2 linked regions of the Arabidopsis thaliana genome follow. The protein of the gene in region 2 interacts with the protein of the main gene of each other region in a pairwise test. Each region holds a gene or a part of one and is shown on either strand. Other genes may lie near its edges.

Region 1 (6,198 bases), on a different chromosome or scaffold from region 2:
CTTTCCAAACATTTTCGTTTTTGTTCAACTTTAAGTGTTTTTTTTTTTTAATAATGCCAATGTTATTTTCCTTTTGCTAATAAAAACATGACTTAACCATTAACGCAAAGGCTACAAAACAAAGCTAATTATATAAAGTAGTAATGTTTCAACATACACAAGATTACAGATACACTAGTTCACTTTTAAACCAGACTAATCTCAACAATATCTTCTACTAAAAATGCTCAAACAGATGAAGAGACTTGTATCGTCAAGAAACTCACCAACTCCCTGGCCCATCGTTCCCAGCTGCTGGCCTCCGGTTCAAGTAACGTATAACTGCATCTTCGACCCTGCAAACATTTTACCCCAAATTATGATTCAGAAACATTTTACAACTCTTTGACCAAAAAAAAAAAAAAACATTTTACAACTCTTAATACATATCATCTGTGCGAATAAAGGCCAGAGTAGCAGAGTCTAGATGATTAGCTTACCAAGGTTGGTTGAAGAAGTCTGATCGACGTTCTCTCTCAGCATTTCGACTGGCTTCTCCCGCAACGACCTTTAGATCCTTGCTCTGAGATTCGATCAGGGCGTTTATGAATTCAACTGGCGATTGGCTGAACCCCAAGAAAAATGCCCGCCTCCTCCTATGCTCATGGATTTTCCTTATGGCTGCACATATTGCTTCATCACAAGCCTCAATCTCTTTGTTCTTCTCTGCGTTGGCTAGCAAATTGTTCAGATCTCTTTGGATCGGGAAGGGTACATCCACTAGCACATCGTAACATGCTGATACGGCCGGATTATTTCCTGAGAGCTTGATTTTGTGTTCTAAGTGAATAGGTGGTGGAGGCGACAAGTGATGAGATATTTTCTGAGAGACCATAGTGAATTTCAACTTTTCTTCTCCAAAAACTTTCTGAAGTGCAGCATCACAGTTGAAGAAAGAGGGGTCATTTGGGTTCTGCAGTTTCCTCGCCTTAACGTAATGCCAAATTGCAGCGATGATTCTTGGGCGGGTTTCAACCTCAATCCCGAGAACATCCATCAATGCAGTAGAAAGCTTGAACTTTTCAGGGACGTAGTTCATCTCCAACCGTATACTAGCAGCAAACTCCTGATTCCCTTTCCTCTTTATCTCAAAGCCTTCCTGAGGAGCAGGTGATCGAGCATTCTCCCATATGATCAATGGGTTCTCAGGATACAGCCTCTGATCCAGGGAAACTGTAACCCTTTTGAAGAAAGACGAGAATTTGGGATGCAATGGGTTTGCTTTCTGAACAAACCCTGGCTGGTCGGGATCCACCCCATCTTCCAGTATCCTACCAATAATTTTAAGAGTCCATGTTGGCGGGTCAGCATTAGGATTCCCAGGGATCGTGTTGTTTTGGTTAGCAAACGAGTTGAAAACGTAGATCCTAAGAGTCTTCTGTATGCAGGGAGGGTTTTTAAGGGCTTCCTGGATGTCAACTTTCTTTCTAGTTAACGCAGCATCAACCCGAGACTCAAACTCCAGAAGTTGTGTGTATAAGGCAGACTCTGGCAAGATTGCAGCCACCCGCTCCTGCAATGACTTTTCTGGAAGCTTTTGTTTCTTTTTCCGAGCAGCAGGAGTTAACTCCATTGTTCTCATTGGGGAGATAGTGTTGTTACTCGCAGGAGCACCAGGAGGTCGCATCGGCGGTTTCTGCTGGAATCTCTTCATGTTTAAACTTCCAGGAGTCGTCAAAGAAGGAGAAGAAGGACCCAAGCCACCAATCCCCGGAGAACCTTGTGCTTGGTTCATCGTCATGCCTTGAGCTTGTAACTGAGCTTGCAGTTGTGCTTGAACTTTAGACTGTGCTTGAGCATGGGCTAGGGCCTGAGCTTGAGAGAACTGAAACTGAGCTTGAAAGTTAGCTGCCATATGAGACTGAGCAAAACCTTGGTTTCCAGGAACAGATGCAGAGGCCATCCCAGGATTCCCAAAAGGCAAAGGCGCAGAGCCTTGAGGCTTTTGTGGATTGTTGTTGTTACCAGACATTGCTATATAAACCTATCAGCCTGAAAAATTCAGAAACAAAAAATAACACTCTTGAAAAATAAACTTCAATTACACCTAACGTATCGTAAGCTTATCAGAAATCTAAGACATATATGCAGAAATTCAGATGAATGCAATAGATCGGTTACCTAGAGAAATCGAAACCTCAAAACCCTAATTTTCTAAGATTGCTGCAGAGTTCAACTAAATAGGAGTAATACCCAGGCTTAAAAACAACGTCGAAGAGAAAATGACTGAAAATGCGAATGAAGAACTCGATTGGAGAATTTTTGAAATATACTACTAAGTGGCCATAGAAAGATCTGGAATTTACAAAATCCTAAGAGATACAAAAAACAGAAAACCCAGAGCCTATACACCATAAAGATCGAGAATTCCTTAAAAAAACGAAGATTCGCAGCTTGGTACCTGCTTTTTTGATTCACCTTCTTTCCGGGATTCACCGGTGTTCCGTTGCTTCTCAGTTGTCGAGACTCGAGAGAGAAAACAAAAACAAATGCCCACCGGAGCTATCTATTTTACTGTCCGGGTTAAGACCCGACCCGTATTTTTAAAGCCCACATTGAGTTATATCAAACTGGCCCAACTTTAATCCATGTGTTTTTTTTTCAACGACAAATCCACATACAATTTGACGACAAAATTAAAAAGAAAAGCATTCCACATAATTTTGTTTTACTATAGTTTTTCGTTTCCTTTTTTTTTTTTTGTCAAATACGAATCTGTAGTTTTAGTGTTCTTTCTTAAATATACCTAAAACTAGGGTAAATTAGATAATGGTTGCCCCATTGTTTATAGATTAAAGAAAAAAAAAATCTAAATTAAATATTGGGATTATTTTAATTAGAAGCTAGTAGACTGGTATACTTTTTCATAAAAATTTTAATTTTATTTTTGCCCATTTTGTTTAGAGGGAAACAATTGAAGAATATGGGCACATGCAATTACATAAACTAATGACAAGGTAATAATATTATCAAGCTTGTCGTTTGAAAAAGGTAGCAACTTGGTTATAAACAACGTCTTTGGCAGTAACACCCATGATGAAATCAGCATGAGCATAGTCTTTCACAAACTGCACATTCATCTTATCGATGTCGTGATACTTAAACTGGTCAAGGAGAAACTCAACGTCTTTCACATCAGCCAGGCTATCTAAACCACCGTAGCTGAAAAAAAGCGGAAGCTCGTGTGGGATCGCCGATATGTTGTATGCCGGTGGTATCGCTTGACCGTAATGTTTTATGTTGCGATCACTGCTTCCATAGTTGTATTTTCTCAACTCCTTGTCTCTTACCGCTACAAATAAATAATTTGAACAATTTAAGGTTTATAAAATAATTTTTAAAAAATGGGAATTTGTTTCACTTACTTTGAGCAAGGTGGATCATGTTCTTGGTGGAAGTAGATTGAGGTTCGTTGGCAAGGAACAGATCAATGGTTGATGCGTTAAGGCAGCAATTCTTTCCTATGTTTTTGTAAAATTACGTTAATTAATATATGTAATTAATTCATCAATGGTAGATTGGTGGACTTTTTTAGTTGTAGCGTTACCAGTGATAACAGAGACTAAATCATAACAGTCGATCCCCGCTTTAAGGCATATAGCCTTTATAAAATCCCCTACTAATCCACTGCAAATGTTGTTTTAACTATTTTACGTAATCAAATCAAGCCAATAATAACAAGCATATTTTAAGAAAAAAGGGTGAAGATTTACCTTTTCGGGTTAAACTCTGGCCATCCAAGAATAGAGGTGGCCTATTTTTGAAAGACGATAAACAAGTTATTTTCATAACTGTAGGCACATATTTGTATAAGAATAAAAAAGGGTATTACAAGGGAGAAGCTAGGGACCTCGGCGAGGAAGGTTTTTGCGGCGATATCGCCGATGACGGTGGTCATGTGGCTGAGATAAGCAACGGGACTCAACATCGCCGCCGATCTCACTTGATCCACCAACCCTTTTTCTGAGAACGAAGCAAATCCTATTAACGTCCCCTGACAATTTCCATTTCATTTTTCATTCTATTATGAGAAGATATATTACTATAAGAAAAAGAAAAAAATCAGAGAAAAAATATGTTGATAACGTTGGACCCACCAAAGAGTGTCCGAGGTAGTGAATCTTTTGGCCTGTTAGGCCATGGATATGGTCAAACATAGCAGGCAGATCGTAACTCACAAGCTCGTCCCACGTCCAGTTCCAGAAAGCCTAAGTCCACAACGTGCCAACGATGTTAAATATCAGTTTCCTTAGTAAAGATATATACGTAATCTACTGGTTAAAACAGTGGTTCACTGAACCAGACCCGTTGAGAAGGGTTAAGGTACTTGTGTCTTCTGCTGAATCTAGTCCCTCTTGTGTTCCCCATCCACACATCGAATCCTTGATCCGCCAAAATCAACGGCAGATTTTGATCCGCTGGATTCAACAGCCATGACATCCCATCCTGCACATTTAACTCATGATTATTTGACTATCATAGTAATGTAAACTATAAGAAATTAAAGGACCATGTTGTCAAAGAGACAAATTACAATTCTGCATACGTACGACTGTCGTCTCTGTCCACATAAAACTTAAAACATAAGGCAAGTCATAAAGTATTTTCTTTCTAGCAGGCTGATGAAAATAGTAGTACTGATCTCATCAAGTTTTGTACTTATGCACTTTATCGATGATTTTTAAGAATTCGATGAGTACCAGAGTCGAGAGTCGACACGGTTATTTATATAATATCACTTACGTACGGTACAATCATTCTTCCATACCAGAAAAGTTGTTTATCACTTGAGTTTATTTTAATTACCTTTCTAGTAACGCTCCAATTATCACTTTATTTGTTGGACACACATGTTTAACACTCATGCTGTCTCTTTATTTAATGTTTTAATTTTACCACCACTAAGATAACACATATGCACATTCTTTATCAAAAAAAGATACAGACATTAATCTAATTAATCTTACTTGTAAGTTTCAAACTCGCACGCACATACGATATAAGGATAAATGTACATATATATATATATATATATATATATATATATATATATATATGTATGTACATACTTGTTGATGAGGCATCCACTGGAAGTATACACGTTTGGTTTTGGCCCACGTGTATATGTCTATTTATAGATGTAAATCATCTTGAAATAATATATGCACATATTCTCCATTTGTATAACTTCTGAAAACGGGTATAAAATGTTCTCCTAATAATGTTTTTCTCACTATCCCTTGACGTCACTTTCCACTTTTTCTTACTTTCAAAAATTTATGTAATGGAAAACAGCTTCAATGTAGTAATCAGATATTCCGAGTGCGATGCAGTGGTTTAATTACAGCTATATATGTTTTTAATAATAGACTTTGTAGTTTGGATGTATTTCATGCATGTTGGAACAAAGTTTGATATTATCACAATAATTATCTGCACATAAAAGTAGCATGCGTGTGTATACACAAGTTAATTGACGGTTAAGGCGATGCAAAAAGGTAAGGAAGAGTAAAACTTACGACAAGAATTCCATGTTGTATTAGGACAGGTTGTCTCTTTCCCCCATCTCCGGCGACGGCTCCGGCTCGTCCTTCCGGTATCCTTTGCATATTCAATATGTACCCATCTTGAGTCACCACCTTCATAATTTAACAATTAAAATAGCAGCTTTATCAGTTAATATATCGATGAGTAATCATCATCAATAGCTATATAGAAAAAAAAAGAATGTCGTACGTACATCATGTTCTTCGCACTTGTAACCAAATATGTGAACAGAAGAAGCGCATATGCCGCCGGCAGCAGTCCTCTGCGGTGGCTGTCCGGCAAGCCTGCCGAAGGTTCCACGAGCTTCAAGGGTCTTGAGGGAAAGAGCGAAGAAGATTAAGACAGATAAGGCTAAACCGATTGAAACGGACGGAACCATAACCGAACCGGCCATTGAGATATATATAGGGGTTATCACGTACGTTTATAGGAAAGTGAAAATGGTTTTATATAGAGAGAAGGGGTGACGGATAAGATAATAGAAAATGGAATTATTAGCTATTTATAAAAATGCAAAACCACGTTAGCAACTATGGATAGACAAAAACTTATTTAGAAAAAAAAACAATTTATGGTGTGTAAACATAAATTAAGAATTGAATCATGCACAAA
Region 2 (6,198 bases):
ACCATCAAGAGGAAGAGCACCAATGTACTCTAGTGGTAGCTCTGTTCCTGCGGTTAATCGTGGATATTCCAAAGCCAGTGACAATGTTAGTCCGGTGATGATGGGAACAAAAATGGTGGAGAGAGTAATAAACATGCGGAAACTTGCTCCACCCAGATCAGATGACAAGGGTTCTCCTCATGGTAACTTGTCTGCAAAGTCTTCATCACCCGACAGTGCAGGATTTGGAAGAACGCTCTCCAAGAAGTCCCTTGATATGGCAATAAGGCATATGGTATGTATCTCTCTCTTCTCTCTTCCTCAAGTGGTGGCAATTGCGTTTAACTGATGATCAAACGTTTTGATGAAAACAGGATATACGTAGAACTATTCCAGGGAACCTGAGACCACTAATGACGAATATTCCAGCATCATCAATGTACAGTGTGAGGTCTGGACATACACGTGGTAGACCGATGAATGTTTCAGACTCTTCTCCACTAGCAACAAGCAGCAACGCAAGCTCAGAGATCAGTGTCTGCAACAACAATGGCATTTGCTTAGAGGCAAGTGAAAAGGAAGACGACGCAGGCAGCGAGAGAGGTTGCAGGTCCCCTGCAAGCTTACAAGGGAGATGAAGGAAGAAAGAAGAAAAGCCTTTTGTAAAACGTTCACATTTGAGATTCTCTTTTATTGTTTGTGAGTTTTAATTATCACACGAGTTTGATAATGATGATATGTGAAGTAGCGTTTTGATGTTTTATGTAAACCTCTCCACTCTCGTCTCTACTTTAACCCTAAAATGGATGGATCCTTTAACCGATTGATTTGAGATATTAACCACTATTCAATGGTAACTGACTAAAACATAAAAAGTTATCATTCCAATATGACATAATTATGTTAATAACACACATGAACCATAAAATCTCTCAGCTGTTTATAACACATAATGAAATGCAAAGACTGAATTCACACAGATGTAAGCAACGAATAAGAAAACAAAGGAGGTTTTTAAGCAGCAGTAACTGCCTCAGTGGGCTTGGTTTCGGGAACATTCTTTGGAGGAGCAGCCGCCTCCTCCGATGGAGGTTGAGAAGTGAGTTTCAGGTGAGAAGGTGGGTTGTGTTTGAGCTTCACCAATATTTGTCTCATTCTTGTTAGATCGGTTGGCTTACCGGGCTTTGGACCTTGAATCACAGAGACTGTTGGCTTCTTAGGATCTTGTTGCTCTTTTTTTCCTCTCCTTTTCTCTATTGTTGGAACTTCTTTAGGAACTAGCTCTGCTATTGCCTTCCAGTAATTCTTGCTGGATTCCGCGTAGAACTTCTCTTGGTTCTCCAGATACAGCTTAAGTGTTCAAAGACAAATAAACACATAAGTGAAAGTTTAATCAACACTGTAACAATGCAATATGCAGATAAAAAGGTATCAAAGATCACACACGTAATGAAGATAATCAATGTATTAAGATAATCTCAAAACTGACAATGCATTAAGATAATCAATCACAGTTGACTTAAGACTAAGATGGTCAAAGTTTGAAAATTTTAATATCAACAAGCCATTGACTTGCATTGACAATTCTCCACAAACCACATGACAACAACACAGATTGAGAAAAGATGATAAAAAATTCAAATCTTTTAGCAAAAGAACAAACCTTTTCCTTCTCTCTGTTAGCTGCTTTGTTGTTTTCACAAGTTACTTCAATCTTCTTATGAAACTCTTCTTTGTATTGATCAGCTTCCTCAATAATTTGCTTCAACAATTCCTTTTCTCTCTTCTCCTTCTCCTCAAGTTGAATTGCATTTTGTCTACACATAAACATAATAAAGCCATAGCACGAAATCAGATCTATACATCTTAATCAACTCAACAAGCATTACAAGCTTACGGATCAAGATGTTATTCTAGAACACACGATTTGAGCAATAAACTCTAAGCAAAAGTAACAGATCCAATCTAATAAACTGATTACTTCTGAGAACAATGGACACTAACTAGCAGATAACTTCAATTCACAAAAATTGTGAATCAAAATTCAAAATTGAAATTCTCAGATTATCAAAGAGATTCTCAACTAAATTTATCCACTTTATCGATTTTCTTCAGGAAGAAGTAAACAAAAAGCAACAAAGATCAAAACTTTGAGTAGATCTAACCTTCTCCATTCTCTAAGAGCAAATCCCTCATCTGATTCCATCTCCGACGGTGGTGGCAAGATAGGACCGTCGTGATCCCCGTTGGATCCGAAGATGCCGTCACCGTTGGAGTAAGCACCGTAGTCAGAAGACGGCGCTGCAAAAACATCGTCGACGGAGTCCTCGACTTGGAGTGAGCCGTCGAAAGCTGAGAAAGAATCAGTGGCGTCAAAAGAGCCTGAGACTGGAACAGACTCAGACGCATCATCGTTGAGTATGACGAAGGAATCGTCTTCAAAGGCAGACATCTCTCGAACACACAAAAAAAAAAAAAAAGGCAGAACGAAGAACTCGCGAATCTTGTCTTTTCAAGTGTTCTCAAGCTTATGGCAAAAATTAATAACGGAGATTTGTGACTATTTTTATTTCCATTTTTCTTAATGGGCTTTTTTCGAGCCCAAATACTTCCAATTCATCATGAGTATTCCGGTTTAGTTATGGTTTAGGTTCCAACCGATCCATTAGATTACAATTAATGTTCCATACGTGTTCTTCTTATCTTAATCAAAACGTTTTGCAATTTAGTGTGGGTTCGGTTGTTCTACTTTCTAATTCAACCGGATCATTGAAACTACGTGTTCTTCTTTTCTTGTTTAAAACGTTTTGCAATTTGGTTTTGGTACGATTGTTTCATTTTCCATTTCAAACCTTCATTTTTTTTTTTTTTTTGAATAAACCTTCATTTTCTTTTTGTGTGTTTCGTGATTGAGTTCACAAAGTCTCAAATTATACACTACTAATGAATTGGCACAATCATTGAGCACGATTAATATAGAGTCTTGAAGTCATGGAACATCAGAAATGAACAAAACTATGTGCAAAGAAAAGTTGATTCTTTATTTGCATGTAAAGAAGAACATTATCATCACAACTACTGAGAAAAGGAACAAAATCAACCATATGTTTTCACGTTTAAGTATATTAATAATCAAGAGTAGAAGAAAACTTTTGGAATCAAATTTTCGTATTTATAGAGGAAAAATGTTAACAACTTGATATCTTGTATGACAAATATTTTTTTATAAAAGCCTAAAACAAAAATAAACAAAGACTTAACACATTCATGGATTCTAGCGTCGGAGGATTTTATGAGGTGGAAAAGGATGGTAACCTTGTTTTGGTATACCATCATCCGAAATATTGCCCCATACCCCAAACACAGACCGTAACCTCCTCCAGTGACCTTCAACCTCTTTTCTTATGCCCTCGATCACGACGTCGAAAAATCAAGTCGTATTCAGACACTTATCCGCTTAATTCTTCCCCCGAGTACGTCCTTTCTACAACGACGACCTCTCATGATCATCATGTACTCCCTTTGTTTTGGTGCAACAATAAAGAATTTGATGCTGATGGTGGATGCTACATATGCGAAGGCTCAAATTCCGGCACCGACTATTATTTCTGCAACTATTGTAGCATAAAATTACACAAAGAATGCATTCAATCTCCACTTATAATCAAACATCCTTACCACCCTGAGCACTATCTCCAACTTTTCTTTCATGATGATAACTTTCGTAAGATTGAGTGTTTATGTTGTGGAAGAAAAGCACATTGGTTGATTTATCATTGCACCACATGCCAGGCTTTTATGCATCCCATATGTGCGATGAAGCCAATACCTTTTCTTATAGACCCACCAAAAAAGCATATCCATCCTCTCACTTTTTTCCCCAGACAAACTTCCTTGACTTGTAATGTTTGTGGTTTGTTGAGAAAAATTTATCCCACCTACGTTTGTTTCAGATGTAACTTTGTAACTCATAATGACTGTATGAATTCCCCACACATCATCAAGATATCACGTCACCGTCATCGTATCTCGTTCACTTTTTCTCTTACATCTAGAGAATGGTTTTGTGGAGTTTGCCGTTTAAGTATTAACGTTGATTATGGTGCATATACTTGTGACACGTGTAGCGATTATGTTGTTCATTCAATATGCGCTCTTGGGAAAGATGTGTGGGATGGAAAAGAACTCGAAGGTATACCAGAGATAATCGATATAACAGAAAATGATGGACCGTTCGAGGTGATATCTGAAGGAGTGATACTTTATTTTCATCATAATCATCATCTCCGACTCGAGGTCAGCAACGTTTATGATGAAAACATGCTTTGTCAAGCGTGTGCCATTCCTATCTATGAAGGTAACTTATATGTTTGTATGGAGTGTGATTTCATCCTCCATGAAACATGTGCTAAGGCTCCCCGTAGAATCCAACATGCCTTACATCCTCACCCACTTGTATTGGAGGTTATCAATAGCTTTACTTACAATACCTTCCGTTGCAACGCTTGTGATCGTGGTTCTATTGGCTTTGCCTATCACTGTAGGATGGAGGTATGCAACTTTTTCAAGCTTGATGTAAGGTGCGCTTTAATTTCTGAGCCGTTTGATTACAAAGGTCATGAAGATCCCTTGTTCCTAGCTTTAAACCCAGAAATAAAACCCATATGTCATATATGCAAAACAGAATGTTTAAAACAATTAAATTGCATCAAATGCAATTTCATTGTATGTTTTAAGTGTGTTACCTTACCATACAAAATAAAATATAAGCATGACACACACTTCCTCACAATTTCATTTGGTGAAGAAGTACGTGAGCAAGAATGGTGTGAAATATGTGAACGTAGTTTAAAGGATACATGCACAAAAGTATTCTACTGGTGCAACGAGTGTTGCACCACTTTTCATATTGAATGCTTAATTGGTGGAGACCCATATATCAAGCCCGGTCAATATTTCAATAAATGGGTATGCAGGGTTCAAGTTCTTCCCAAATGTAATATTTCTCGACCATTATGTGGTTCTTGCAAGAACCGTTGTATAGGGAAAATATATGATGTAGGCTACCGTGTTGAATGTTCATATGAATGTATTTAAACAATGTATCCATGCATCTGAATAAAATGTAATTTCTCTATTATTGATTTCAATTTCATAAAACTAAACTGATTTCTCAATTCGTGCAATTACACAAGAGCTCTTTGAATTAGATGATTTTCTGCCGGAGGAGCTGCATCGGTCAACACAAGATATAATTTCTAACCATGTGCTTATGCGATTAGAAAGGCAATCATTTTCGTCTCTCGAAGGTTTCAAACAAGAAGCAAATGAGATGGCAAATGCATTGCTCGATAAATAGTCAATGTCAAAACATCACTACAATGCCGCTAGACTTTATAACTAAACCGGTCACTGAAACCCTAAACCTGATTTTAGGACAAACGATCTGAAACTAGAGAACTGCATTTACACATTGTTTTGCACTTCACATCAGAGTCTTTTAATGATAAAAACCGCCATTCTCTCCACTCTTTATGTACATCAAAACAAAACAGTGGAGACTGAATGGTTTACCTAAACGAACCAAATCTTCTTTGGTTCTCAAGAGTTTATGTCTGCGTCTGGGACGGAGACTGAGATGATGGAGACTGAGCCTGAGCCTGAGTCTGAGACGGAGACTGAGTCTGAGTCTGGGATGGAGACTGAGACTGAGACTGAGACTGAGACTGAGACTGAGACTGAGACTGAGACTGAGACTGAGACTGAGACTGAGACTGAGACTGAGACTGAGACTGAGACTGCGTCTGAGATGGAGACTGAGCCTGAGCCTGAGATGGAGACTGAGCCCGAGTCTGAGATGGAGACTGAGACTGAGTCTGTGTCTGAAAGTCGTCACCTCCATTACCTATAGACTGATTCGGAGGCTGAGACTGTTCTTCCCCAGGTGGTGTGGCATCTTGGTTGTTCCTGTCTCTGTTTCCGCTAGGCCGAGGTTTCGTAAAGTACTTGTCAATGAATTCTTCAGCACGGTCAGGGTATTTCTTCATCAAATAGTTGTTGAGGGATTTTCGGTATGAAAAGTCCTGTTTGGCCCCATCAGTTGAGACAACAAAGAAGCACCTGCTGTCTGAGAAGATGGTGTGCTTATCAACCTACATCGTTGTTCAACCAAGAATTTCACATCAGGCATAAGGCTAAGTAAGCTTTAGAAGAGAAGCT

The links. The genes of interacting proteins can lie anywhere in the genome.
Region 1: the proteins of CLC2 (region 2) and CHC1 interact in a protein complementation assay, tested with the Arabidopsis thaliana proteins (one study listed by BioGRID).

Annotation. Positions count from the first base shown.
Region 1 is NC_003076.8:4,568,434-4,574,631, forward strand, and holds CHC1 (SWIB/MDM2 domain superfamily protein), read right to left. Parts: upstream 2,562-6,198; 5' UTR 2,441-2,561; intron 2,032-2,440; 5' UTR 2,012-2,031; coding exon 480-2,011; intron 336-479; coding exon 263-335; 3' UTR 47-262; downstream 1-46. Other genes in the region: AT5G14160 (F-box family protein), read left to right, coding at 1-34; MPL1 (Myzus persicae-induced lipase 1), read right to left, coding at 3,009-3,331, 3,405-3,500, 3,587-3,666, 3,753-3,793, 3,890-4,033, 4,137-4,247, 4,345-4,485, 5,559-5,678 and 1 more. UniProt on the Arabidopsis thaliana protein: Involved in transcriptional activation and repression of select genes by chromatin remodeling (alteration of DNA-nucleosome topology).
Region 2 is NC_003071.7:16,722,797-16,728,994, reverse strand, and holds CLC2 (Clathrin light chain protein), read right to left. Parts: upstream 2,572-6,198; 5' UTR 2,432-2,571; coding exon 2,145-2,431; intron 1,797-2,144; coding exon 1,643-1,796; intron 1,330-1,642; coding exon 994-1,329; 3' UTR 788-993; downstream 1-787. Other genes in the region: AT2G40070 (flocculation FLO11-like protein), read left to right, coding at 1-274, 354-617; AT2G40050 (Cysteine/Histidine-rich C1 domain family protein), read left to right, coding at 3,247-5,076; NRPD1B (nuclear RNA polymerase D1B), read right to left, coding at 5,589-6,131.